Tribolium castaneum: one gene and its partners. The protein of the gene in region 1 purifies or fractionates together with the protein of each later gene. This does not show direct contact. Links are inferred from orthologs where the notes say so. Each region holds a gene or a part of one and is shown in the gene's direction. Other genes may lie near its edges.

Region 1 (5,206 bases):
GGTTTCTATTGGTTCGGTACTCGATTTTGTCGACACTGTTCCGAAAATATCATCGACGTCGAAATCTTTTTTCTCGGGTATTTTCGGTTTTTTCTCGATGTCTGAATCGAGCAAGAAATCGTCGCTTGGGGTAGTTATGGTCACTCGAGGTACTTTCTTTGTCGTGAAAGTCGCTTCTTTTAAGTATTGAGTCGGGGTTTGCGTATAATAAGTGGTAGTCGTAGGGATTGTGAATTTTTGTTGCGTTACTGTTGTTTTTGGCTTTGATTCGAAATAAAATTCCGTGACTGTGGTGGGTTTAGGGTGGGTTGTCACAGATTCGGGTTCTCCTAAAGTGGTACCATAACTCGTTCGACTCCGAGTGGTCGTAGGTACTATCTCTGGTATAGTGGTTTCATAACTGGGTGTTTTTGCTATTGTCTCGTACGTATTTTTCGGGTGAGTTGTAGTGGGTACCGCCTCTACTACAGTCGTACCATAACTAGTTGACAGGTATGGAGTTGTGATAGGTACCGCCTCTATGATAGTAGAACCTTGCAGGGTTGTGACTGGTACAGCTTCTACTATAGTAGTTGAACCATATGGAGTTGTAGTGGGTATTGTTTGGATTGTGGTAGTAGTTTTAGGACTACTTGAAGTGTGTAGCGTTCTAACTGGTACTTCTTCTACTAGAGTCGTTCTGTAACTAGTTTTGGGGCTAGACGGTGGTAGAAAAGTAGTGCCTTGATTGGTTGAAGTGTGCAAAGTTCTGACTGGCACTGCTTCTATCACAGTGGTTCCATAACTGGTGGTTTTGGGGCTGGATGATGTGGAAAAAGTGGTATCATGACCAGTTGTAGGTCGTAAAGTTCGAACGGGTACTGCTTCTATTACTGTGGTTTCATAACTACTAGTCTTGGGGCTAGACGATGGTAGAAAAGTGGTTGACGTGTGCAGAGTTCTGACGGGAACTGCTTCTATTATAGTAGTTGTTTTGGGGCTAGTCGAAGTGGTTTTGGGACTGGTTGAAGTGTGTAAAGTCCTAACGGGTACCGCCTCAATCACCGTACTACTTTTCGGTACAGTGGTATAAAACGTAGTACTTTTAACCCTCTCGGTCGTAAAGGGCCCAATAATTGTAGTTTTCTGCTCTGTATACGGTACTTTTTCAATTGTGGTACTTTCTTCTTTCCTAACCGAAGGTTGAGTCGTGGTAACGTACGGAATTGTAGTTTCAACGTTTCGATCAGGGGCTGGAAGTTGTTCACTGATTGAATCCGGTCGTGTGTGTTTCGGAACTTCCGTAACCGGTTTCATCGGTTCGGTTGGACTAACCGGGAACAAATTAACTCGTTCTTCACTTGTCGTAATTTTTTTCGTAGTAGTTGTGCGTAACGCCTCCGAAAAAATATCAAAACTCTCGTCTTGTTTTTCCGTTGTTGTCTCAACCGGAGTGTAATAATGAATGGTTGTGATGGGTTTCGGCGACTTTGTATAACTTTGGGTCGGTAAAGTCGTAATCGGGATTAATTGTCCTTCACTTACGACAAAAGTCGTAGTCGTAGGAGTCGTAACTGAGAATCGGTGAGGCCCACTTGATGTTTTCGCCGCCAATGACTCGATCAATTTTTTGTACAGTTCGTATTCTTTTGGATCGATTGTTGTTTGGTCGTGGTATGAAGTGAAAAATCCGGGAAAACTGTGCAACACGTGTTTGTACCCATCCGGGGTCATTTGTATTAAAATTCCGGGTTTGTAGTGTCCATGATCTTCCTCTTTCTTGAACCACTCTTTTTGTCCAACTGTGTTCACACCCGGATCGCTCTTAATCACGAAAATGTGTCCCGGGACGTTATAGTTAAAAAACCCATGTCTTTTGACCAAATCCTCGCTGATGGTGTGCGTGATGGGCGAAATCGTGTACTCGATTTCGTACACGTGCCCATAATGGGGGTCCCGATGTCTTATCCGCTTCACCGTCCACAGTGCGAGTAGTTTATGGTGACCGAAGGTTTTCCACTGGCATTGGGGCGACGTGAGGCATCTTTGACAATCACAGTCCACGTCTTGAACAAATTTGAAACCTTCAGGGGTTATGTAGAGTTGTCCTCGTGCCAGAACGGCGATGTCTCCGAAAGGACTTGCGTCGTCCTGTCGGTTGATAAAAGGGGCTGCCAGGAGGCGGTCGCGGAGCCCCGGGTCGGTGTAGTGTTCCCGGAGGAGGGCCTGATGCACGGACTCACGCAGCCCCAATTCCCAGTCGGTGGGAGGATGAAAGTTTCGCACGGGTCGAGTGATTGATACAGTTTCCCATAGTTGGAGAGTCTGAAAATGAGAGTTTTCATTTTTTAATAACCTTGGACTTGAATGGGATTGTTAGTCGTGGTAAAATTACCAAGAGTAAAATGAAGATTATTTCGAAGTGTCCCATTTTAGACCCACTGGGTGTTTGCAAATGTTTGAAAGCTGCACATGTCACTAGTTCGCTCGGTTTCTTACAACTAAATCTTTTTACTTAGAGAGATTGAAGAGTACCCCACCGATGATCCTAGAAGCTTTCGACATAATTGCTAATACATTGTCTACTTTTCTGCGCACTGATGAATATTAATTATTTTTTTCTTGTGTGTGCAATGTGCATATTATATTACTTAATTTAGACACATGCCAAGATAATTATCTCGGGGTTTTAAGAAAAAACCCGAATTATTATTTTCGGACAAGTTAATTTGGCACGACAGTAATTAACTAAAATGACTCTCATTAACAATGAAGTTTTGAAATTTTTATTAAGAGTGATGGGTTTGTTAAAATTAAACCTTCGGAAAAAGTATTGTCCGAAGTGAGATTTTTTAATTAAAAATTTATTAGCAAGGTTTTATTGGCAATTCTATGATGAATTTGTATTGTCGCAACATCTTGATAATTGCATTTTCATTACGATAAATAATGGACTCGCACTTTTAATTTAATTTATTTTTTACCTTCTTCTTTGATGGTGGATTTTTGTTGATTTAATTTCTGCAAAAACATTTTTTTTCTTTATGTTACTCGAAGGAAAATAGAGAAATTTTATTTTCACCGAAAAGCGTGGCTAATTGAAACCTTGTGGTGTTACCTAAGACCCTATTTGCGTAAAATTCAGTACTTGAGGTAGAATATTTTCATTTTTATTGCACAAATTCATTACCTTTGATTTAATCTCCGCGTTATGAAACCAGAGATGTTTACGATCGTTCTTATTTTTTTCTTTTAATTCGTAATTTTGCTCACGAATCTTCAGTTTCACCTTGAACTTAATTGCTCTGAAAAGAACCGATTTTAAGTCAGCGGCGATATCGCAAAGTCGCATCTTTACGCTTGGAGATTTCGAAACGAAAAACAATAACGAAAGTGCATGTTACACGATGAAGATTACAATTGTTTGAAACAATCATCACAATGAGCAAATTTGACATAATGGTCACGGTATGAAGTGATTCTTGTAATTTAAAGGAAAAAGTCCGAAAGTAAAACGTGCGTGAATTTGACCAATTAACACGAGAAAATAGCTATACATTGCAGCTTGCGTAAGAAAGGGATACGATTATATGCGTTCGAGAAAAAACGAACGTTTCCGTTATGATTACTTGCAACAATATTGGATTTTCTGGTCGGTGGTCTTCCGCTATTATTAATTTTTCTTTTCCGTTTCGGTTTGCGGAAAACAATTTTGTTGTATTAAACGGATTGTTTTTTTGAATAATTCATTTATTTAAAGTGGAACGGAGGATTATGAGGAGTTGTGAAAAAATCCAGCTTCCGTCGTGGCGAAACCAAAATTATGAAATTTTTTGTCATGCATAACAAATCGTGTTTTAGCGTCACTTCCGGGTACTACGGCTGCCCATCAATTGGTGGTGTCAATACGTCAGAAGTGCACCCCCGAGGAGGTCCTAGGGGTGCTTAAGGACCTCCCAAACCCCCGTTCAGAAGAAGAGACTGATAGCAGATTTAATCCTCTCAAAATCGACGTTTTTGTGCAAACTCTACTCAACTTAGGGTCGAAGAGCTTCTCGCACAGTTTTGCAGCGATTTCCAAGTTTCTTTACGTTTTTAAGGTACTCAGGCTTGAACATTTGTGTCTTAAATCACTTTTTTTTTGATAGATTTTAGCAGAGTCGGAGGAAGCTCAAATTTGCGTTTTACGAAACATGTTCGAATTGTGGCACCACCACCAACAAATGATGGTCGTTTTAGTTGACAAAATGTTGAAAATTCAAATTGTCGAGTGTTCAGCGGTCGCTAATTGGATTTTTTCCAAAGAGATGACGGCCGAATTCACCAAAATGTACTTGTGGGAAATTTTACATCTGACTATTAAAAAAATGAACAGACACGTGATTAAGCTAGGGGGTGAACTAGCTGAAGCTAGAGAGAAACTAGCACGGGCTGAAAGCAGCGAAAGTGAGTCTGAAGATGAGGATTCGAAGAAGAAGCAATCTGATAACGAGAAACCAACTGAAGAGTATGTTGAAAGGATGGAAGAGAAGTTGGAAGCGGCACAAGCCGATCAGAAAAACTTGTTCCTGATTATTTTCCAGAGGTTTATAATGATACTGTCTGAACATTTGGTCAGGTGTGACACGGATGGGCGCGACTATAACACCCATTGGTACAAGTGGACAATTGGGAGGCTCCAACAAGTGTTTCTAGCGGTAATATTTTATTATGCTTTTATTTATAATTAATTTGTGTTGTTACAGCATCATGAACAAGTTCAGAAATACAGTTCTACGTTGGAAACGCTGCTGTTTACCCAAGACTTGGACCCACACATTCTCGAAGTATTCCAACAGTTCGTCTCTTTGAGAGCTTAATTTTTTATTTAATTTACATTGTAAAGTGTAGTTTATATCGTCTCAATTACAATTCATAAATAAAAAGTATATCAATATACGATAAGAGTAGTTTTCTTGAAGTTCCCAAAACCCCATTCCAGAAGTTTCTAGTGATTTTCGTTCGTCCTCGTGCGCTGTTGGTATTGACATCTCGACTTTTCCATCAGTGTTAAAATTTGAAATGTTTTTGTGATTTTATGAAAAAATGTCGCATTTATCGCGTGTTTTCCTCCACTCGCGTGATTTGCCTCGTTTTTTAGGACATTTCCGCGCGCGAAGAAGTTTTCACGCGTGTGTAACAACAAACTTAACCACACTTTCGCACACCGCTTTAGACCCCGTGTCCA
Region 2 (3,920 bases), on another chromosome or scaffold:
TTCACCGGGATTTCTGTTCGATTACATTTTACTCCAAATTCAAGTTTATAGCAATTTGATTCACCCAGTGGTCGACTCTTTGAAATATCTGACGAGTTTATCGTACGATGTTTTGGGCTTTTGCCTCGTTGAATGTCTAGCGAACGCCGACAAGAAACGGGTAAAACATGATAGCACTTCGATCTCTTCGTGGCTACAAAGTCTCTCGAGTTTTTGTGGCGCTGTTTACAAAAAATACATCATAGAATTGACCGGGCTTTTGCAGTATGTGGCCAACCAACTTAAAGCGCAAAAAAGGTACTTTTCATTTGTGACGTTCGCTGGGTTAATAACTAGTTTCAGTTTGGATTTGCTGATTTTGAAAGAAATCGTCCAGAAAATGGCAGGTGTTGAAGCCGCCGAAGACTTGACCATGGAGCAAGTGAACGCAATGGCAGGGGGCGAACTTCTGAAAGCCGAGGCCGGTTATTTGAGTCAAGTTCGCAACACTAAAAAATCATCACTGCGGCTTAAGGAAGCAATGTCTGAGCATAATCTAGCTGTGGCTTTGTGTTTACTGATGGCCCAGCAAAATTATTGTGTTGTCTATCGGGAAACGCAGAAGAATCATTTGAAATTGGTCGGGAAATTGGCCGATCAATGTCAGGACACTTTGGTCCAGTTTGGGACGTTTCTCGGCTCTTCTCTTTCAGTTGATGAGTATGTGAATAAATTGCCAAGTATCCAGAGTATGCTCCTCGATTATCATATTCCAAACGAAGTTGCCTTCTTCCTGGCCAGGCCCATGTTCAACCATGCCATAAATGTTAGTATTTCCCCCCTTTTTTGGCTTTTATTTAGTTAATTGTCTTAGATAAAGTACGATCAGTTGCGTAAATCTGACCCTAACTACAAGAAACTCTCAACGAACGTAAAAAACCAGAAATATTTCGAAGCGGTGAACGAAGTGATGGAACCGGTCCACAAATCTATAATTCCGCTCCACCCCCCGAAAATCTGGGAGGACATTTCGCCCCAATTTTTATCAACCTTTTGGTCTTTAACAATGTATGATCTTTACGTACCTGACGAAACGTACCAACAAGTCGTGAATAAAACGCGCCAACAATCGTTGGCAACGATAGAATCGAGTAACAACAAAGGTAAAAAAGAGCAAGAACGTTACTTGACCCTAGTCGAGAAACTGCAAGACGAGAAGAAGAAACAACACGAACACGTGGAGAAAGTAATGTATAGGTTGAAGCAAGAGAAGGACAGTTGGTTCCTGTCAAGATCGGCAAAATCGGCCAAAAACGAAACAATAACCCGGTTTTTGCAGTTGTGTTTGTTCCCTAGATGCACTTTCACGTCGATCGATGCCGTGTATTGCGCTAAGTTCGTCCACGTGATTCACATGCTGAAAACGCCGAATTTTTCGACGCTTTTGTGCTACGACAGGGTAAGTTGTGTGATCTGTTTGGAATTTTGCGTGATTTCGGTTGATTTAGCTCTTTTGCGACGTCACATATTCCATTACTTCGTGTACCGAAAATGAGGCGATGCGTTATGGGCGATTTCTGTACGCAATGCTCGAGACTGTAATGCGGTGGCACAAGTCGAAAGAGTTGTTTGAGAAAGAATGTGCCAATTATCCAGGTTTTGTTACTAAATATCGTCTAAATAACCAACATGCCGACAATTTGGATAATGTCGGTTATGAGAATTACAGGCATGTTTGTCATAAATGGCACTATAAACTAGCAAAGGCTATGGTCACGTGCTTGGACTCGAAAGATTACGTACAAATCAGGAACTCGTTAATTATCCTAATTAAGATCATTCCATTTTTCCCCGTGTTGCAAAAGGTGGGGCAATTTATTGAAAAACGGATCGAAAAAGTGCGAGATGAGGAGAAGAACAATCGACAGGATTTGTTCACGTTGTCTAGTAGTTACTTGGGGTTGTTGAAACAGAGGATTATGAGCGGGCATATGGTGAAAGAGAGCGATTTCCATATTTTGGTGGAGAAAGAGAAGGTAATTAACCATTCAAACAAAATTGCCAATCGTACAATATAATTCTGTTAGGTTGTGAGAAGTCATGAAGCTAAAAGTGAGGCAGGTTCTAGCAAACATAACGGCGAAGTTAAAGGTATTATGTGTGTGTCAATTTATTTGTTACTCATTGAGCTGATTTTAGAAGAGATGAAGGACAAAAGCGAGAAAAAAATCAAAGCGGAGGACCTTAAAGTCGTTTCACGAACGTCGCAAGGTTCCCAAAGCTCTGGCGATTATAACGCGTTAGTATTTCGATTTTGGTGCAAATTTCCCTTTTGAGTGTGTTTTTATTTAGGTGGGAACGCCCCGAACCGAGGGAAAAACACAGAAGGGAGGAGAAACGTGACGATTTTGAGAAAGAACGCGAAAGAGAGAAACGTAGAGAGCGTAAAGAGGAGAAATTGGCGAAACAGGAAGAACGACAGTATCGAGTAATTCATTGCGAGTTTTGTTGTTTTGGTGTTATTTCATTGGATTTTGTTTAGGAGGAGCGCTATTCTGAAATCAGTCCGAAAGATGAAATGCGGTATTCAAGCGACAGACAAGTGGAACGATACTATGACGAAAGAGGCAGTCACTACTATCGAGAAGTGCGAGATGAACGCGAAATCGGGTTAAGTGGTAGCAATAATGGGTCAAGTAGTATGGGAAGGCATAGTCAAGAGCCCGAGACCGATAGAGGTAAAATAATTGGGTCAGTTTGGTGGTATTGATTAATTTTTTTTGTGTAGAAGTTAAAAGAAGAAAAATGGATGGTTCTTCTTTGAAGGTTAGTATCGGAGTGACGTAACAACGATGCAGATTTCAGGGTTCGAAACCCTCTCTGGTATTTTCTTTGTCCGACACTGGGAGATTGGGCTGAGTCGTGCCGTTAAAGTGTTTTAAATCTGTCGCAAAAAGTGTTGTAGACTCGAGTGCTTTGTGTGTTTGATAAACTTTTTGCTCTAATTTCGCCACCAAGTCCTGCACGAGTTTTTGTTTTTCATCACCGGGTTCTCCTCACATTTAAACCAAATCAAATCACAAATTCTGATTGTCGTAAATATTTCCGAAGAAGTTTGTCGTTTAAAAAAATCGATCGATTCTTATAATCGCCGGAGTAATGTTGGAGTGAATTCGTCCGTTGATGAAGATCGGGAATGGAATCGGCTGTGAAGAAGACGCAAGCGAAGGTGCATGAAGATTCACTTATGTAAAAGTGGCAAAAAGTGACACTTGTGTAAGGGACAGTCTGCAATCAGCCCAATCTTCCATTTTGTTAATAATTTTGGGATGGGAGCCAGTTACAGGTAGGTTCCGGATTAAGTACGGAGTTTCTCCGGTGACGTGCAGCTCTTTTTATTGAATTACATTCCTTAAATAATTTTATTTGTACTGAAATTGCTTCCGTTTTGGTTTTGTCATGCCGAATTATTTTAGATGTTATGGATTATTTTTTCTGTTTCATAAGATATAAATGCATGTCTTTATTGTTGTTGTTAGACGAAACTTTTTGTTAAAATATTAAAGAACTTGGTTGCGTTTGTAAGGAACTTTTTTTTGCATTCCTTAATGAGTATTCAATAACACGGTCCAATAAATCCGACTTCATGTTTTTTTGAAGTGTCGAATGCATAAAATGATATTCTATTATGTATAGAGGAGTGTAACTTACAGTGTAGAAATATCCATTTGCTTATTACGAGTATGTATAGAATGTGTTTCTCCACCCTTGTGAAACTACATAATTTGAAAAAAACAATTGCAAATGTTACTTCCCGGCTATTTTTGTTATTCTTTTTCCCAGACTGGTCTAAACACAAATAAAAAACATGACAATTTTTATCAATCACTTTTCTATTTTAAGAAAACTTTTGTGGTAAAGTTTCCTTTTCCAAGCTCGAT
Region 3 (5,157 bases), on another chromosome or scaffold:
AAAACTTCCCGTTTTGAACGGTTTATCGTCGTCTTCGCTTTTCGACATTTTCGAGCTCTTGTCGGCTTATTCTCCCCGACCGACTGGTCAGGAAATTTTCAATTTCACGCGGAAAGGAGAGCCAGCGATACGAATCGGAGTATGGAATTTGCACGAATTTACATTTGAGAAAGCTAACAATCCCGGAGTTAGGGAAGTCGTGTGTCGGACGATTTTGGAGAACGGGTTTGTAGAAAAAACATCGTGTGAAGCACAGGTTTTGAGGAAATTGTTCCAGACTATCGATATTAGCCGTCCAAGAGGTAGTTAATGTCACAGCAATGAAATTAATTTGTGATGAGCTCAACAAGCCAAGGTTGAGACGAGTCAACGAGTGGAAAGATAAAAACCATAACTGGAATTTTTGTATGCTGGATGTAGATGGGTCCCAGTTAGGTTTTATCTATGACTCAGATGGAGGTGCAACACTACCTATTTCTAATTTTATTTTTATGACTAATTTGTTTCCAGTGATTGATATTGAACTGATATCACTGAACCAAGGTCCACAAGAAACAAGCGATGACTGCGAAGTTCTCATAGCAAGTTTCAAAGTCGGCGATTTAGACTTACAACTAGTTAACATGAAACTAAACAAAAAGGCGAAACTGGACGTGTTGCAGGAAAAAATAAAAGATCTAATTTCCGAAGAAGACATGCTTTTATTGTTTGTAGACTTTTCAGCTATTCCTAACATAACAGGTAAACTGCTGATAACATAACTAAACATGCAAATATTTTTTAACGAAATTGCCAATTAAGTTGCATAATTACTTACATCACAGCCTTGATGGATGGGAACTTCGTTCTTAGACGGCTGGTCGGGTCAAGCAGGCTGTGCCACCTAAGAGGGCGACATCTTACGTCAAATATAATTGTCAATTCTGATAGTAGTGAAATTAGGCATGCAATGCGAAGTTAGCGACAAGCCGTAAAAAACGAAGTTCTCTATCTATCAAGGAGGCTGTGAATGACAGTGGGCGTGTTTGCAGACGACTGGTTGACAATCGGGGGTCTCCAAGCAGCCTTTCCGAGTTCGATGAACACGAGTTATTTGCGATCGAAGTTGGGTTTAAAACCACAACACATATCAAATATTTTATGTAACAACAAAATCCAAGGGCAAGTTACGGGTATTAATGGGGTGGTACAGCAAGGTTTGACCCATTTGGCCATTCCCAATGGGTGGAATTGGGGCGGACCGGCGTCTCCTTTTTGCCCCGTCTGGATGGAATTGTTTCTAAACCCCAATTCTGGGACGGCGTTGTGATATTATCTTATTTTGTATTTAATTTTATTTATTTTTGACTGGGTATACTTCACGTAAATTTTACAAATTTATGGCTGTGTGTCGGACGGTTTTATTTCTAAGCTTTAAAGACAAATATGTGGGGGCACAGATGATTTTATTTTGAAATTGTGTTTTTGTTCAGAAATTTTCAAAAAAATTAGCGGGCGAATTTTGCAATAAAGGGCCCCGATTTCGTACTCCCTGTACTGTAACAACTTAGTCTTGTATTTGTAATTATTTAATAAATATTATTTTATTAACAGTGAGTTTTATTTATCACAAGTTCGGTCCAACAAACAATCGAGTGCGTAAGCACCGCACGTGAAAAGTGTGACCTTGACATCAGCGTGCCAACTTTAAAAACTGAAAGTTTTGCCGAAATTATTGCAAATAAAGGTGTAGTGTCCATTGAAACAATAAATTTGGCTTGATTTTGAGCCTACAGTGAAAAGTTGTGGTTTTAATGTTAATAAGGTTTAGATTGTGTTAATTTTCCCGATCAGCTGTCCTTCCGTTGTGTTTGCCACCGTGCGCGCAACCTGTGCAACCGATCTTTGTAGCAAATGGGTATGAAAAAAATACCCAAATTACGTTAAATCAGTCGGTAATTTTGTGATAATCGCGTCCGAACGTTTCCCCCTTCATTTTTCATGTTATCATAACGCCAAATCGAGTCTTTTACGTTTTAAGAGCGCCACCCGGCTTTTCCTCGTGTTTTCATCAGCCCTCCATTGTCAAATCTATCAAAATGGCGGATACAGGTTACAAGAATCGCATCCAGAATTTCAAGAACAAGGGAAAAGACCAAGATGTAAGTACCCCGCCCTTCCTTGCGCCCCACCGGCTCCCTTACTCCCGAAACACCCGTCCGGTGCGCCCCTTCTGACCGCCCCGTGTGCCCCCAGGAAATGCGAAGACGGCGCAACGAGGTCACCGTGGAATTGCGCAAGAACAAGCGCGAGGAGACCCTCCAGAAGCGCCGCAATGTCCCCGTGGTGGACTCCACCGACGAGGACGACATCGAGAAGTCGCTCTCCACCACGAACTTGGAAGAACTGGTGGCGCAAGCGGCCGCTATCGACAACCCCCCGCTGCAGCTGATGGCGATCCAAACCGCGCGGAAGTTGCTGTCTTCAGACAGGAACCCCCCGATCGACGCCCTCATCTCCAGCGGGATCCTGCCGGTCCTGGTGATGTGTCTCGAACGGTATGACGAGCCCTCGTTGCAGTTTGAGGCCGCCTGGGCGCTCACGAACATCGCCTCGGGCACGTCCGCGCAGACCAACAGGGTGGTGCAAGCGGGGGCCGTGCCCCTCTTCCTGAAGCTGCTGCACTCGCCCCAGCAGAACGTCTGTGAACAGGCCGTTTGGGCCCTGGGGAATATCATCGGCGATGGGCCGCAGTTAAGAGACTATGTTATCGAGCTCGGTGTTGTTAATCCACTTCTCTCGTTCATTAAACCCGACGTTCCGATTTCGTTCTTGAGGAACGTCACCTGGGTTATTGTTAATTTGTGTAGGAACAAGGATCCCCCGCCGCCTATACAGACTATTAGGGAGTTGTTACCCGCCTTGAATGCGCTTATTCACCACACAGATACCAATGTGAGTATGTACCAGAAAAGAGTCACAAAGGTGAGCAGTCTCATACTTTGCGTTACGTGTGAAAAAAATATAAAAAAGGGAAGAAAAAAAAAAGTTCACCTTTAATGACGTCTGAGTTTTAAAAATGTTGGATTCAACGGTGCGAGATTGGTGTCAAGGTCGCAATTTATTCTTTGTCCATTTTAATGATTTGCAAAAATACGTCTTCATCATTATTTTCGGTTGTTTTGTTAGTATTGATTACGACGTAATAAACAAAACAGTACTTTGGCTCTATAAACAAATTTTACGTTGGCAGAATCATTCATAAAATTTTCATTAATTAAAAGTTCAGAAGTAGGTCAGCTATAATTGTTTTCACTTATTAGGAGGTGTGACTCAGGTTTTTGTGACTCAAACCGGGGTTGTTTATAGAATATGAAGTTAAATTAAACAAGAAATATTTTCTTTACATTTAAATTATTCTTACCGATGGTCACATAGTCACAAAAACGTTATCAAGAATCAAGAATTACGAGATATCAAGAAAGACAATTTTACAAATAAAATATTTGTTTGAGATGCTGTCAAAACATTCTGGGATAATTAACATTTATTCTCACTTGTATAGAAGGGTTCTATAAATAATTGAAAGAAAAACCCTGGTTTCAGTGTCAGTAACAGAAACTGAAAGTTTGAAATTTTTTAGACGTTGGAATTTTATTTTAAAACTTTTCCATGTCCTTCTCGTCTGAAAGTAGATTTTTAGTCTCTTTGGCGACAAATTTCAAAGGCAAAATAAGCCTTGATAATTTTCGTAGGCTTGATTCGTCAGTCCTTAGATAACATTGTCAGGAATGTTGCATAAATAATAAATAAAAAAATATGAAGACATTGGAAGCTACTTAACATAAACAATTAAAAATGGATTTTTGTTATGTGGTGTAGTGGCAGCAATAACAAACAGTGTGGTTAATTTATTTGCGGTTTGTTTTTTGTACTTTTTAATGAAACGTGAAAATATTTATGTACATAATACTATTAAGATTTTTTATTAATTATAACAGATTCCTTACCTTTGTTGTTTTATGTAATTGTGGCATGTTGGCTTTTATTTAAAAAATCATAGAATTCACGTTGTGGAAAATAAATGTGTAATCGTAAATTTTGGTAAAATACTATAAAAAATTTCAAGTTGACTTCATTTTGTGAGGCACTCTCATTTATTTTATTTTTTTGTGCAATATTATGGAGGTGATTTTTTTATTTGATTCTGAATCATTCTTTTATTTGTTTATTCTTTTGTATTTTAAAAAATACAATGCATATAAATACAAGCCGAAAAAGGAATTTTAATGACCTCACAAAAGTGCATCTTTACCGAAAAATTCTATTTGACAAATTCGCATTTTATTTAGGATAAAACATCACTGGGGAATAATATAAATGACATTAGAAACCTTGCAAAGTTCTCGTTATTTTTTTTATTTATCGATATTAAATTTTTCTGGGACACATACAAAACGATATTTGGATTTTCGGCTGTAGCATTTAAAAAAAAATTGCTCTTCCAGATTTTAGTCGACACGGTCTGGGCATTAAGTTACCTCACCGACGGCGGCAACGAACAAATTCAAATGGTGATCGACAGCGGCGTCGTGCCCAAACTCATCCCTCTCCTCAGCCACAAGGAGGTGAAAGTGCAGACGGCGGCCCTCCGTGCCGTCGGAAACATCGTCACCGGAACGGACGAGCAAACCCAGGTGGTCCTCAACTGCGACGCCTTGTCCCACTTCCCTGCCCTCCTCTCCCACTCCAAAGAGAAGATCTGTAAAGAGGCCGTCTGGTTCCTGTCTAACATCACCGCCGGTAACCAGATGCAAGTCCAGGCCGTGATTGACGCCGGCCTCCTGCCCAACATCATCAACAACCTCAGCAAGGGCGATTTTCAAACGCAGAAAGAGGCGGCGTGGGCCATCAGTAATCTAACCATTGGCGGAAACAAGGAACAGGTGGCCACACTGATCCGCGAAGGGGTGATTCCCCCGTTCTGCGACCTCCTCAGTTGTAAAGATGCGCAAGTGATTCAGGTCGTTTTGGACGGGATTAACAACATGCTGAAGATGGCGGGAGCGGAGGTGGACCAGTTGTGTACCATGATTGAGGAGTGCAATGGCTTAGATAAAATCGAAATGTTGCAAAATCATGACAATATAGAAATTTATAAAATTGCATATGACATCA
Region 4 (3,990 bases), on another chromosome or scaffold:
ACATTAACTTAAGTACACTAATTGATACGAGACATCTATTGTTCCTCAAACGAACTAATCCTGAAACGACTTTTCAATAAATTTCTGCCATGTAAACGTGCAGATGATAAATGAGCATAAACAAACCCACGCTCACTTGATCCGATTAATTTTCGAATTTTATGAGTGGACATTGTTTTTGACCTGTACTCTACTCGATATTTTTAGGAGCGGCGTAAAATAATATTTGTTATTAGAAAAAATTCCAAACTGCAAGATTAAACAGTTTCCAATTTTTTTTTATCTAGATTCATCTATCAGAGCGTAAATATAACAATTTTTATTAACTGGTGCATTGTGATAAACTCACCCAGTCATGACATTGACACGTATCAGTGGCCCTCGAGTATACCTACTTACAATAACGGCGATAACAGACTTCCAATTTGATAATGATGATAAATGAAGAAGACAGTTTGTGCACCTGTTTAAAATTAACACGAGTAAAATTAAAAAAACCTCTCAGGATTCAACCGATCCTTTAAATTATTATGCTGAGATCTTTAATCTCAGTGAATGTATTTTTGTATATAACCCAATAAAACTATAAAATCAAAAATATGTTAGGATCATCTGGTGCTTTACAGTTTTCTCTGTGCATGTGATTTTTTTCAGGATTATTCTACAATTCCTTACAATAAATATTAATTAATTAAAAAAATCAATATAATAATTAATTAACTAAATTTATAGTCTTAGGGACTAGTTACTGTACAAAGCCAAATAAAATTTAATTCAGGATTAAACTTCAGTGGTGGAGAACTTACGGATAAAACGAACTAGTTTTCCGTTCATAACGAACTTTTCACAGAATTTTGAGAAATATGTCGGGGTTGATAGTAAGTATTTAATATAATAGAGAAGTGTTAACTGATGAACAAATTATTAACTAACTAAAAATAAATATTTTTTGTGTTTTGACATCTAATTACTGTGTAATTAACTACTTAATCCAAACTTTTATTATTTTTTGGGATATTAGAGGTTGAAACTTTCACTTCAGCGTCTAAAAATTAATCAGAAACGCAATATCAACTAGGAAATTGGGATTGCGTCTTTTGAGTACTTTTCCCAAAGTTTATATGACTAACAGACGGTGATTTGAGCAAACGAGCGTATGCGAGTTACATAATATACACCCGAGAACTTTAAACGTTTTCGCGTGAGTGTTTGTTTTGTTGGAATTTTTAAATTAAATTAATATTTTTTTATTACATTTTTTAAATTTCTTTTAAATTTAAACGTGTTCACATTTGATTTTTTTTACTTTTAATGGATCAAATAAAGAAAGTCTAACATTACACAATATTTCAATTCTGCCAAAGATTCTTCAAACACTAAAATGTGTTAATGAGTCAATATAAATAAACATCTGTTTTGTATTGACAATATTTTAACATACATTAGGTAGAAGAACAAAATTTCATTTACAAATACCTACCTACATAAACTGGTAGAACAAAGTTTGAAAAAAATTGAATGTATAGGGAACCAATAATACAGCGGTGTTTTTACATTGGTGTAAATAGGTTACCTATTTCATAAACATAAAAATAAGTTTTTATTCTTTGTTTCTGTATTATGCTGAAAATGCAAAAAATTGCCTAATACATGCGGTCGTATTTTTTTTTGGTAAAATCCGGGCAGGTTCCTGTGTTGCCGACAGCGCAGTGACGTGGCGCATGCGCACAGCGTCTGTCGTTCATTTTGTACGCCATTTTGTCGTTGGTTGTGTGCGTTGCCGCCGGGTGTAGAAAAAGTGAATTTCTCAGTCAAATCAGCGTACAAAATCAGTAAAAATGGTCGACACAATTGAAATGAGTTTAGATGAGATAATAAAATCCAAGCCCCGGCGCGGCGGCCGTCGCGGAGGTCGCGGCGGAACCCGCGGGGGTGGCGCGCCAAGACGCGGCACGTTCCGAAGAGCCGGCGGCGTCCAAAGGGGCCGAGGACGCGGAGGAATAACGCGCCAGTACACCCGGGTAATTGTTTCTAACTATGTTTATACTTAAGCTGCCCCGCGATGGAAGCGGCTAGCGTGCATCCAGCCGGAGAGCCGGAATTTACCCCCATCCATGTTTGTTTAGGGAGATGTGAACAGTGCTTGGAAGCACGATCTGTTCGAGGGCTACGGCCCGCGTAAAGTGGCCGCGGCTCGGGCCGTTGTGCAGTCCAATGTGGGCCCCACTAAGCTCATGGTGGGCAATTTAGACTTTGCGGTCTCCGACTCGGATATTCAGGAATTGTTCGCCGAGTTTGGGCCGCTAAAGAGCGCCTCGGTGCACTATGACCGCTCGGGGCGGTCGCTCGGCACCGCTGATGTGATTTTCGAAAGGCGCACCGACGCTATTAAGGCCATGAAGCAGTACAACGGAGTGCCTCTCGACGGACGCGCCATGAACATTCAAATCATCACGTCGGAGATTCCGTCGCCGGTCAGGAGGCCCACGGGAGAGAGGAAGTTCCAAAGCAGAAGAGGGGCTGCACCTGCCAAGGGACGACCTAACAGAGGTACAATTACTTGACCAGCGGCGGCGACGCCTCCAACAGCCGGATTTTTCAACTAAACAAATGTTTGTTTGCCAGGTCGTGGAGGAGGACGAAGTTTCAGAAATCAAAAGAAACAACCGACAGCTGAAGAACTCGACGCTGAATTAGACGCCTACACCAAGGAGATGAAATAAAATAAGTGCTATTAATATCAGAGACGCTCAACGCGCCACTTTTTGTGACTTGTGTTTAGTTCTTTCGTATTTTTATTTTGTATTTTGATTGTAACATCGAGCCTTACATTTTATAAAAAATAACCACTAAAGTACGAGGATTACGTATGCGGTTCGTTTTTTCCACAACTAAATCTAGTGTTAGGCTGTTTTCTCTTGTTAATGTAAATTGTATTGATAGGAATAAATAAGAATTAAGTGTGACTTGTCGTTTCATTAGAAATTTTTTTTATTTATACATAAAACTGCATCAGCCAAATGTATCACATGACGTTAAGACCGAGTTGTATAAAAAATTAATCGCCTTCAATCTTGATTTAAAACCATAATAAATCTTGTAACAGTTGTCGCTAAAGGCACGTTGACACGGATCGATTTTAGTCGTTTATTTCAAGTTGAACAATAAAACTTCAACAAAAATCATCGTCAGAATCTTTGTTGTGTCTTAAGTGGATCAAGTTTTTTACGATGATTTCCATTAAAAATTTTCATCTTTAATTGAACAACTAAAGTGGGTCCGTGAGAACTTGCGTTTAGGGTTTATATTACTAAATATACGACAAAACAAATTACAAAAAGTACATCCAATCGAAGCGAGTGCACTCAACGTAATTTTCATCAATAAAGAATACTAAAAGAAAATAATAATTTATTAAGCAACAGTGTAAGATTAATAATTATAGTAACTGAGCTGTCTTGTGGCTGCTTGTAATGTTCACAATTTTGTATCAAAATTAAATTACATTAAGTTTTCTTAGTTCCTATAATTCAACTTTTTTAAATTCGCCTAGTATTTTGTGTGAATATCCTTGTTCCGCATAGTTACCGAATTTAATCTAGTGTAGATATTTATAAACAAAATCTACATGTTCTTAGGGCATTAATCTGATTATAATAAAATGGAAACCACGACACCACTATATATTCCAAACGTGGCCTACAATATGTCCAAAGACTTAATATTTTTGAAACCTTTATTGTTTATTCGTGTAAAATAAATGAGTTCTAACATCTTACGTGCTTGAGCACAAATTGTTTCTATATGTGGAACAAAAAACAATAATAAAATAACGTTGGTGCAAAACTCTTTTTATATTCCTGTATTTTCCGTGTCGCCGGAAGGCTTTGGCTTGAACATATCGAACCACCAATTGACGGAATAAAATAATTAAAAATGGTTTGCTAAAAGTATAAGTGTGGAACTTAAAAACAATAAAAAATAATGAAA
Region 5 (5,136 bases), about 5.1 Mb from region 1:
CAAATGTAATCAATTTACTTTAACTGATAAAAACGCCTTGTAGGCTGTTTTAGCAACAATTCCCGAGCTTGTGCGTGAATCTAGCAACACAAACTCGCTGGAACTTTCCTTAGTAGGGACGGAGTCTTGGCTCAACCCATACACAATGAACCCATCATGGTACAGCTCAACTGATAAGTTGCCATAACCGAAATTTGAGTCGCGCGTTATTTTGAAAGGGAGGTCTTCCCGACTTGTGTATTTTCTAATAAAAATTATTTTTAAATTTGTTTGGTGAAATAAAAGGCAAGTACCCTGAAACCAGAGAATTGAAGCCAAAGCAAGGCCCGTGGTAAGTGTCAATGGGCAAGAATTCGTCACAGCAGGGAAATTCTTCGTTGTTGTAAAAGCACGAACTAATTGCTTCCGAACAAGTGCTGCGGAACTGCAATTAAACGAGTGCAGTTATGTTAACTGGGAAAATACCACAACCTTATGCATGTATTGCGAGTAATTTGTTAGCAAGCATTTGTCACGTAGAGCACCATTTGGTTGGCAAACTTGCGTGTGTCTTATGGAACCGTCGAAGAAAACGAAGGTTTCGAGTTTGGGGAACTGTTGAGATATGGAACCGAAAATTCTTCGAGCAGAGAGAGTTATAACAAAGAAAATCACAATTAACTTACTTCTTGTTAGCTTCGAGCATTTTTTTTGGATTTGATCGTTCGCAAATAACAATTGAAGGAAAGTTTGTTTGCCAATTTAAGTAAGATGTGTCCACTGAAAAGGATATTTTTTGGTTTTGATACTGGTCTAGTGCGTTAAACATTAGCATAATCGATGCGGCCTGTGAATCTATTTTATTGTGGTAAAAATTTGACGATTTGTGGGATTTACCCAAGAAGTTAGGACACATATTGTCCAAAAAAATCTTTCAGTCCAGTGGAATCTCTTATCAGCTATGAAATGCAAGCCATGTAGAGACGTGTTTAAGAAATATTTTGTAACAATACTCATTGTAGTGTAGTTGGGAATTTGTAATCAATACTATTTATGAGTTGGGTCATAATGCAGTAAAACTTTAATAAATTATTAATAGATGTGTTGAATTGTCGCTGTACAAAAACCTAATAAAAAGTTAACAGTTTTCAAACTATCAATTATATCATCGTAATATTTATTATGTATCTGTGGGAAACCAGAATGATACGTGAGCATTTAAGTAACCGCAAGCTACTTAAACATGAGAAGAATTAAAAAATAAGGAGTGCCAGTTGTAATAAAGAGCATGTGTGATTTCTATTAATTTAATAAAATACAGTCATTTCTTGATAATGTTTTTATTGAGTCCACGTTCTATTTTTATGGATAAAGTTTGTAATAGCAATATCAAATTCAATAATCATAAATCATAATAATTTCGCCATTTTTCGTCCATTTTTAATTTAATAATTAGGTAGGCAAAACCAAATGCTCAGTTGTTTTATTGGTCATCTACTCAATAAACTTATTACGTTTTTTAGTTTTATTTATTTCGACAAAAACATTCGTAAATTTACGTTCTTTTAAAACGAACATCATTTTATGTTTTTGACTTATTACCGATAAAATTTCACTGAAAAATCGGCTGTTTTTGAAAAATGTGTTTTTTTTATTTTGATATGCCTCTTTTTTGCAGTCATGTGTTGAATGTTGAATAAAAACCGAAAAATCAATAAACTTTATGCTATAATTTTATAATAAAAATAATGTTTAAATGTAAAATTTACAAAAAAGTGAAAAATCAAATCATAAAGTGACGCAGCCTTAGCCACTTCTACAATCAAACATATGCTTATCTCTCTTTAACTTAAAAGATTGCGATACGTGTCTCACTCCGATAAGATGGTAACCACAATGATAACACCGTGCCAACCAACGAAAAAAAGCTTAGGGATTAAATTAGACAATAAGGTTGTGCAATAATCTATTTCCTAAACCACTTTTTAATTTTGAGGCCATAAAAAAGATCAGTGCGCTAAAAACTGAAAAAGATAGCACGAGTGTTTAAGTTTCCCGCTCCGTCAATTATGCTTCGGAAAGAGAAATGACGATAAAAAAACAAATGATTAATCAGGAAAATATGGCGCTTGCCAGGAGAAAAATGTAGAAATTTTAAAGTAACCATAGTCGAGTTGTCATCAATTGAAGTGTTAAAAGTGTTTCATCAGTAAACGTGAATAAACCCGTGCTTCAATTCGTTCGCGACGAAATCTCCAAGATGAGTGTCGACGCATACGGCCCCAGTTCGCAAACTCTCACGTTTTTAGAGACCGAAGAAAACGACTTGATCGGGGCTGACACCCAAGGATCCGAATGCGAATTCACCGATTTCACAATTCCATCGCAAACGCAAGCCTCGCAGCACGACCACGCGGGCCCCAAAGTTTCCGGTGTACAGGTTAGTGCAAGGTCGCCCCCTGGTTCAGTGTCGTATGACGTTGTTGTTTTAGCTCAACAACAACATCAACAACAAAATCGCCAATGCGACGAGTGCTTTAGGGGAACTGCAATTCGAGGAAGAGGATGAGGAGTATTTCAACAGCAAGGAGCTCCCGAACTACGCGTGCAAGTACTGCGGCATTCATGAGCCGAATTGCGTTGTCATGTGCAACTGCTGCAAAAAGTGGTTTTGTAACGGGAGAGGAAACACCTCAGGAAGCCACATAATCAACCATTTGGTGAGGAATTTCAACTTGGAAACTGTTTTTTGATTGGGGTTTAGGTCCGAGCCAAACACAAGGAAGTGACCTTACACAAGGACGGCCCTTTGGGCGAGACAATCCTTGAATGTTACAGTTGTGGCGTCCGCAATGTTTTTGTTTTGGGGTTCATTCCTGCCAAAGCTGACTCTGTTGTGGTGCTACTTTGCCGCCAACCTTGTGCCGCCCAAAACTCACTTAAAGTAAGTCATTGCTTTTAAAATAGGACAGTTTTCAAGCTTTTAATAGGACATGAACTGGGATCAAGACCAATGGAAACCACTCATTACCGACCGGTGTTTTCTCACATGGCTTGTAAAAATACCATCAGAACAGGAACAACTGCGAGCGCGCCAAATCTCAGCCCAACAAATCAACAAACTTGAAGAACTTTGGAAAGATAATGTTGATGCCACGTTCCAGGATTTGGAACGGCCAGGAGTTGACGAAGAACCGCAACAAGTTAGTCTTGTTTGCACAGTTCTAACGTATTTATTATAATTTTTTTTGGTAGGTTTTATTGCGATATGAGGACGGTTATCAGTACCAAAACATTTTTGGTCCTCTTGTTAAGCTTGAAGCTGATTATGATAAAAGATTGAAGGAGTCTCAGACTCAGGAAAATATTGAAGTTAGGTGGGATGTGGGTTTGAATAAGAAAACAATTGCGTATTTTACTCTTGCTAAAACTGACGGGGATATGAAATTAATGCACGGAGATGAGTTGAGACTTAGATACGTGGGAGAAATGCATAAATCATGGGCGGGGGTGGGACACGTTATCAAAGTTCCTGATAATTACGGAGAGGATATTGGCATTGAGTTGAAGAACGGAAATGGGGCTCCCACCGATTGTAACAGCAACTTTGTGGTGGATTTCATTTGGAAAAGTACCAGTTTTGACAGGTAAATTTCGTTGTTGTGATAGAAACAGAAATAATCACGTTAATCTCTTTATGTATCACATTTTTTATTTATTTTTTTAATTAATGTTTTACTGTTAGTAGTCAAACGTTGAAAGTACCATTGTTATAAACTTTCACATTAAATATAAGTATAATATTACAATCAAACTTTATTTTAAAAATCACAGTAATTAAAAAAAAAGCATGAGAGAAGTGACGCATTTTCACTTCTTATTTCCGAATGTTAAAAAAATCTTTGTAAGATGTTAATTTTAAGCGTTGATATTTCAAGCTATATTAATGTGGTAATTTTTTTATAAGGTTTCTAAGAATATTTAATTAAAAAAATAATTATGTGAAAACAAGTTTTCACGTCGTTTTTTTCTGAGCTCGCCTTTATTGTTAATTGCAGGATGCAACTCGCCTTGCGAAAATTCGCCGTTGACGATACATCCGTTTCCGCCTACATCTACCACCGCCTCCTCGGCCACGAGGTCGAAGAGGTCCTTTTCCGTTGTCACCTCCCTAAACATTTTTCGGCACCTAATCTTCCCGACTTGAACCGTTCGCAAGTCTACGCCGTCAAACATGCCCTCCAGCGTCCACTCTCCCTCATCCAAGGTCCTCCCGGAACGGGAAAAACCGTAACTTCCGCCACCATCGTCTATCAATTGGTGAAACAAAACGGCGGTCCAGTCCTAGTCTGTGCTCCCAGTAATACGGCAGTTGACCAACTTACCGAAAAAATTCACAAAACTAATCTAAAAGTTGTAAGATTGTGTGCGAAATCACGCGAAGCGATTGATTCGCCTGTGAGTTTTCTTGCATTGCATAATCAGATACGTAAAATGGAAGCCAATACTGAACTCCAGAAGTTGCAACAGTTGAAAGATGAGACTGGAGAGTTGAGTTCAGTTGATGAGAAACGATACAGAATGTTGAAAAAATTGGCTGAGAAAGAATTACTCGAAGCTGCCGATGTTATTTGTTGTACTTGTGTGGGGGCAGGTGATCCACGATTGGTTCGTTTGAAATTTCATTCGATTCTGATTGATGAAAGTATGCAAGCGACTGAACCCGAATGTATGGTACCGGTGGTACTAGGAGTGAAACAATTGATTTTGGTTGGTGATCATTGTCAGTTGGGTCCAGTTGTTATGTGTAAGAAAGCAGCAAGGGCTGGATTGTCCCAAAGTTTGTTTGAGAGGTTGGTGGTATTGGGAATTCGACCGTTTCGCTTGGAAGTACAATACAGGATGCATCCAGAATTGTCGCGTTTTCCCTCCAATTTTTTCTATGAAGGGAGTTTGCAAAATGGAGTTTGTGCCGATGAAAGGAAGTTGAACAAGATTGATTTTCCATGGCCGGTTATTGACAGGCCCATGTTTTTCCACGTGACCCAAGGGCAGGAGGAAATTGCCGGGTCTGGGACTAGTTATCTGAACCGAACTGAGGCAGCTAATGTCGAAAAGATCGCCACTAGGTACGAAAATCATTTGGTTTTTTTTCTG

Evidence for each region.
Region 2: the proteins of Cbp80 (region 1) and tho2 purify together in Homo sapiens (affinity purification with western blotting; 3 studies listed by BioGRID and IntAct, with this or other methods). This does not show direct contact. The link is inferred for Tribolium castaneum from reciprocal best matches to the Homo sapiens genes NCBP1 and THOC2.
Region 3: the proteins of Cbp80 (region 1) and Kap-alpha3 purify together in Homo sapiens (co-immunoprecipitation; 3 studies listed by BioGRID and IntAct, with this or other methods). This does not show direct contact. The link is inferred for Tribolium castaneum from reciprocal best matches to the Homo sapiens genes NCBP1 and KPNA4.
Region 4: the proteins of Cbp80 (region 1) and Ref1 purify together in Homo sapiens (affinity purification with western blotting; 6 studies listed by BioGRID and IntAct, with this or other methods). This does not show direct contact. The link is inferred for Tribolium castaneum from reciprocal best matches to the Homo sapiens genes NCBP1 and ALYREF.
Region 5: the proteins of Cbp80 (region 1) and regulator of nonsense transcripts 1 purify together in Homo sapiens (co-immunoprecipitation; 3 studies listed by BioGRID and IntAct, with this or other methods). This does not show direct contact. The link is inferred for Tribolium castaneum from reciprocal best matches to the Homo sapiens genes NCBP1 and UPF1.

Annotation. Positions count from the first base shown.
Region 1 is NC_087397.1:5,579,853-5,585,058, forward strand, and holds the end of Cbp80 (nuclear cap-binding protein subunit 1), read left to right. Parts: coding exon of another isoform or gene 1-2,304; intron 2,305-2,374; coding exon of another isoform or gene 2,375-2,410; exon of another isoform or gene 2,411-2,524; intron 2,525-3,840; coding exon 3,841-4,079; intron 4,080-4,127; coding exon 4,128-4,676; intron 4,677-4,724; coding exon 4,725-4,838; 3' UTR 4,839-4,923; downstream 4,924-5,206. Other genes in the region: mucin-2-like, read right to left, coding at 1-2,304, 2,375-2,410; lon protease homolog, mitochondrial, read left to right, coding at 5,065-5,206. UniProt on the Homo sapiens protein: Component of the cap-binding complex (CBC), which binds cotranscriptionally to the 5'-cap of pre-mRNAs and is involved in various processes such as pre-mRNA splicing, translation regulation, nonsense-mediated mRNA decay, RNA-mediated gene silencing (RNAi) by microRNAs (miRNAs) and mRNA export.
Region 2 is NC_087402.1:8,541,032-8,544,951, reverse strand, and holds part of tho2 (THO complex subunit 2), read left to right. Parts: coding exon 1-297; intron 298-342; coding exon 343-805; intron 806-853; coding exon 854-1,438; intron 1,439-1,487; coding exon 1,488-2,015; intron 2,016-2,066; coding exon 2,067-2,130; intron 2,131-2,178; coding exon 2,179-2,278; intron 2,279-2,331; coding exon 2,332-2,467; intron 2,468-2,521; coding exon 2,522-2,717; intron 2,718-2,767; coding exon 2,768-2,805; exon of another isoform or gene 2,806-3,325; intron 3,326-3,920. UniProt on the Homo sapiens protein: Component of the THO subcomplex of the TREX complex which is thought to couple mRNA transcription, processing and nuclear export, and which specifically associates with spliced mRNA and not with unspliced pre-mRNA.
Region 3 is NC_087398.1:4,899,031-4,904,187, reverse strand, and holds the start of Kap-alpha3 (importin subunit alpha-4), read left to right. Parts: upstream 1-1,699; 5' UTR 1,700-2,078; coding exon 2,079-2,141; intron 2,142-2,235; coding exon 2,236-2,934; intron 2,935-4,487; coding exon 4,488-5,157. Other genes in the region: endonuclease/exonuclease/phosphatase family domain-containing protein 1, read left to right, coding at 1-225, 278-459, 511-741, 1,032-1,309. UniProt on the Homo sapiens protein: Functions in nuclear protein import as an adapter protein for nuclear receptor KPNB1. Binds specifically and directly to substrates containing either a simple or bipartite NLS motif.
Region 4 is NC_087395.1:19,979,316-19,983,305, reverse strand, and holds Ref1 (THO complex subunit 4), read left to right. Parts: upstream 1-1,726; 5' UTR 1,727-1,838; coding exon 1,839-2,021; intron 2,022-2,126; coding exon 2,127-2,550; intron 2,551-2,625; coding exon 2,626-2,723; 3' UTR 2,724-2,966; downstream 2,967-3,990. UniProt on the Homo sapiens protein: Functions as an mRNA export adapter; component of the transcription/export (TREX) complex which is thought to couple mRNA transcription, processing and nuclear export, and specifically associates with spliced mRNA and not with unspliced pre-mRNA.
Region 5 is NC_087397.1:527,170-532,305, forward strand, and holds the start of regulator of nonsense transcripts 1, read left to right. Parts: upstream 1-1,906; 5' UTR 1,907-2,239; coding exon 2,240-2,419; intron 2,420-2,471; coding exon 2,472-2,699; intron 2,700-2,743; coding exon 2,744-2,923; intron 2,924-2,969; coding exon 2,970-3,182; intron 3,183-3,234; coding exon 3,235-3,626; intron 3,627-4,037; coding exon 4,038-5,108; intron 5,109-5,136. Other genes in the region: sodium channel protein Nach, read right to left, coding at 19-244, 294-424, 472-619, 666-826, 877-996. UniProt on the Homo sapiens protein: RNA-dependent helicase required for nonsense-mediated decay (NMD) of aberrant mRNAs containing premature stop codons and modulates the expression level of normal mRNAs.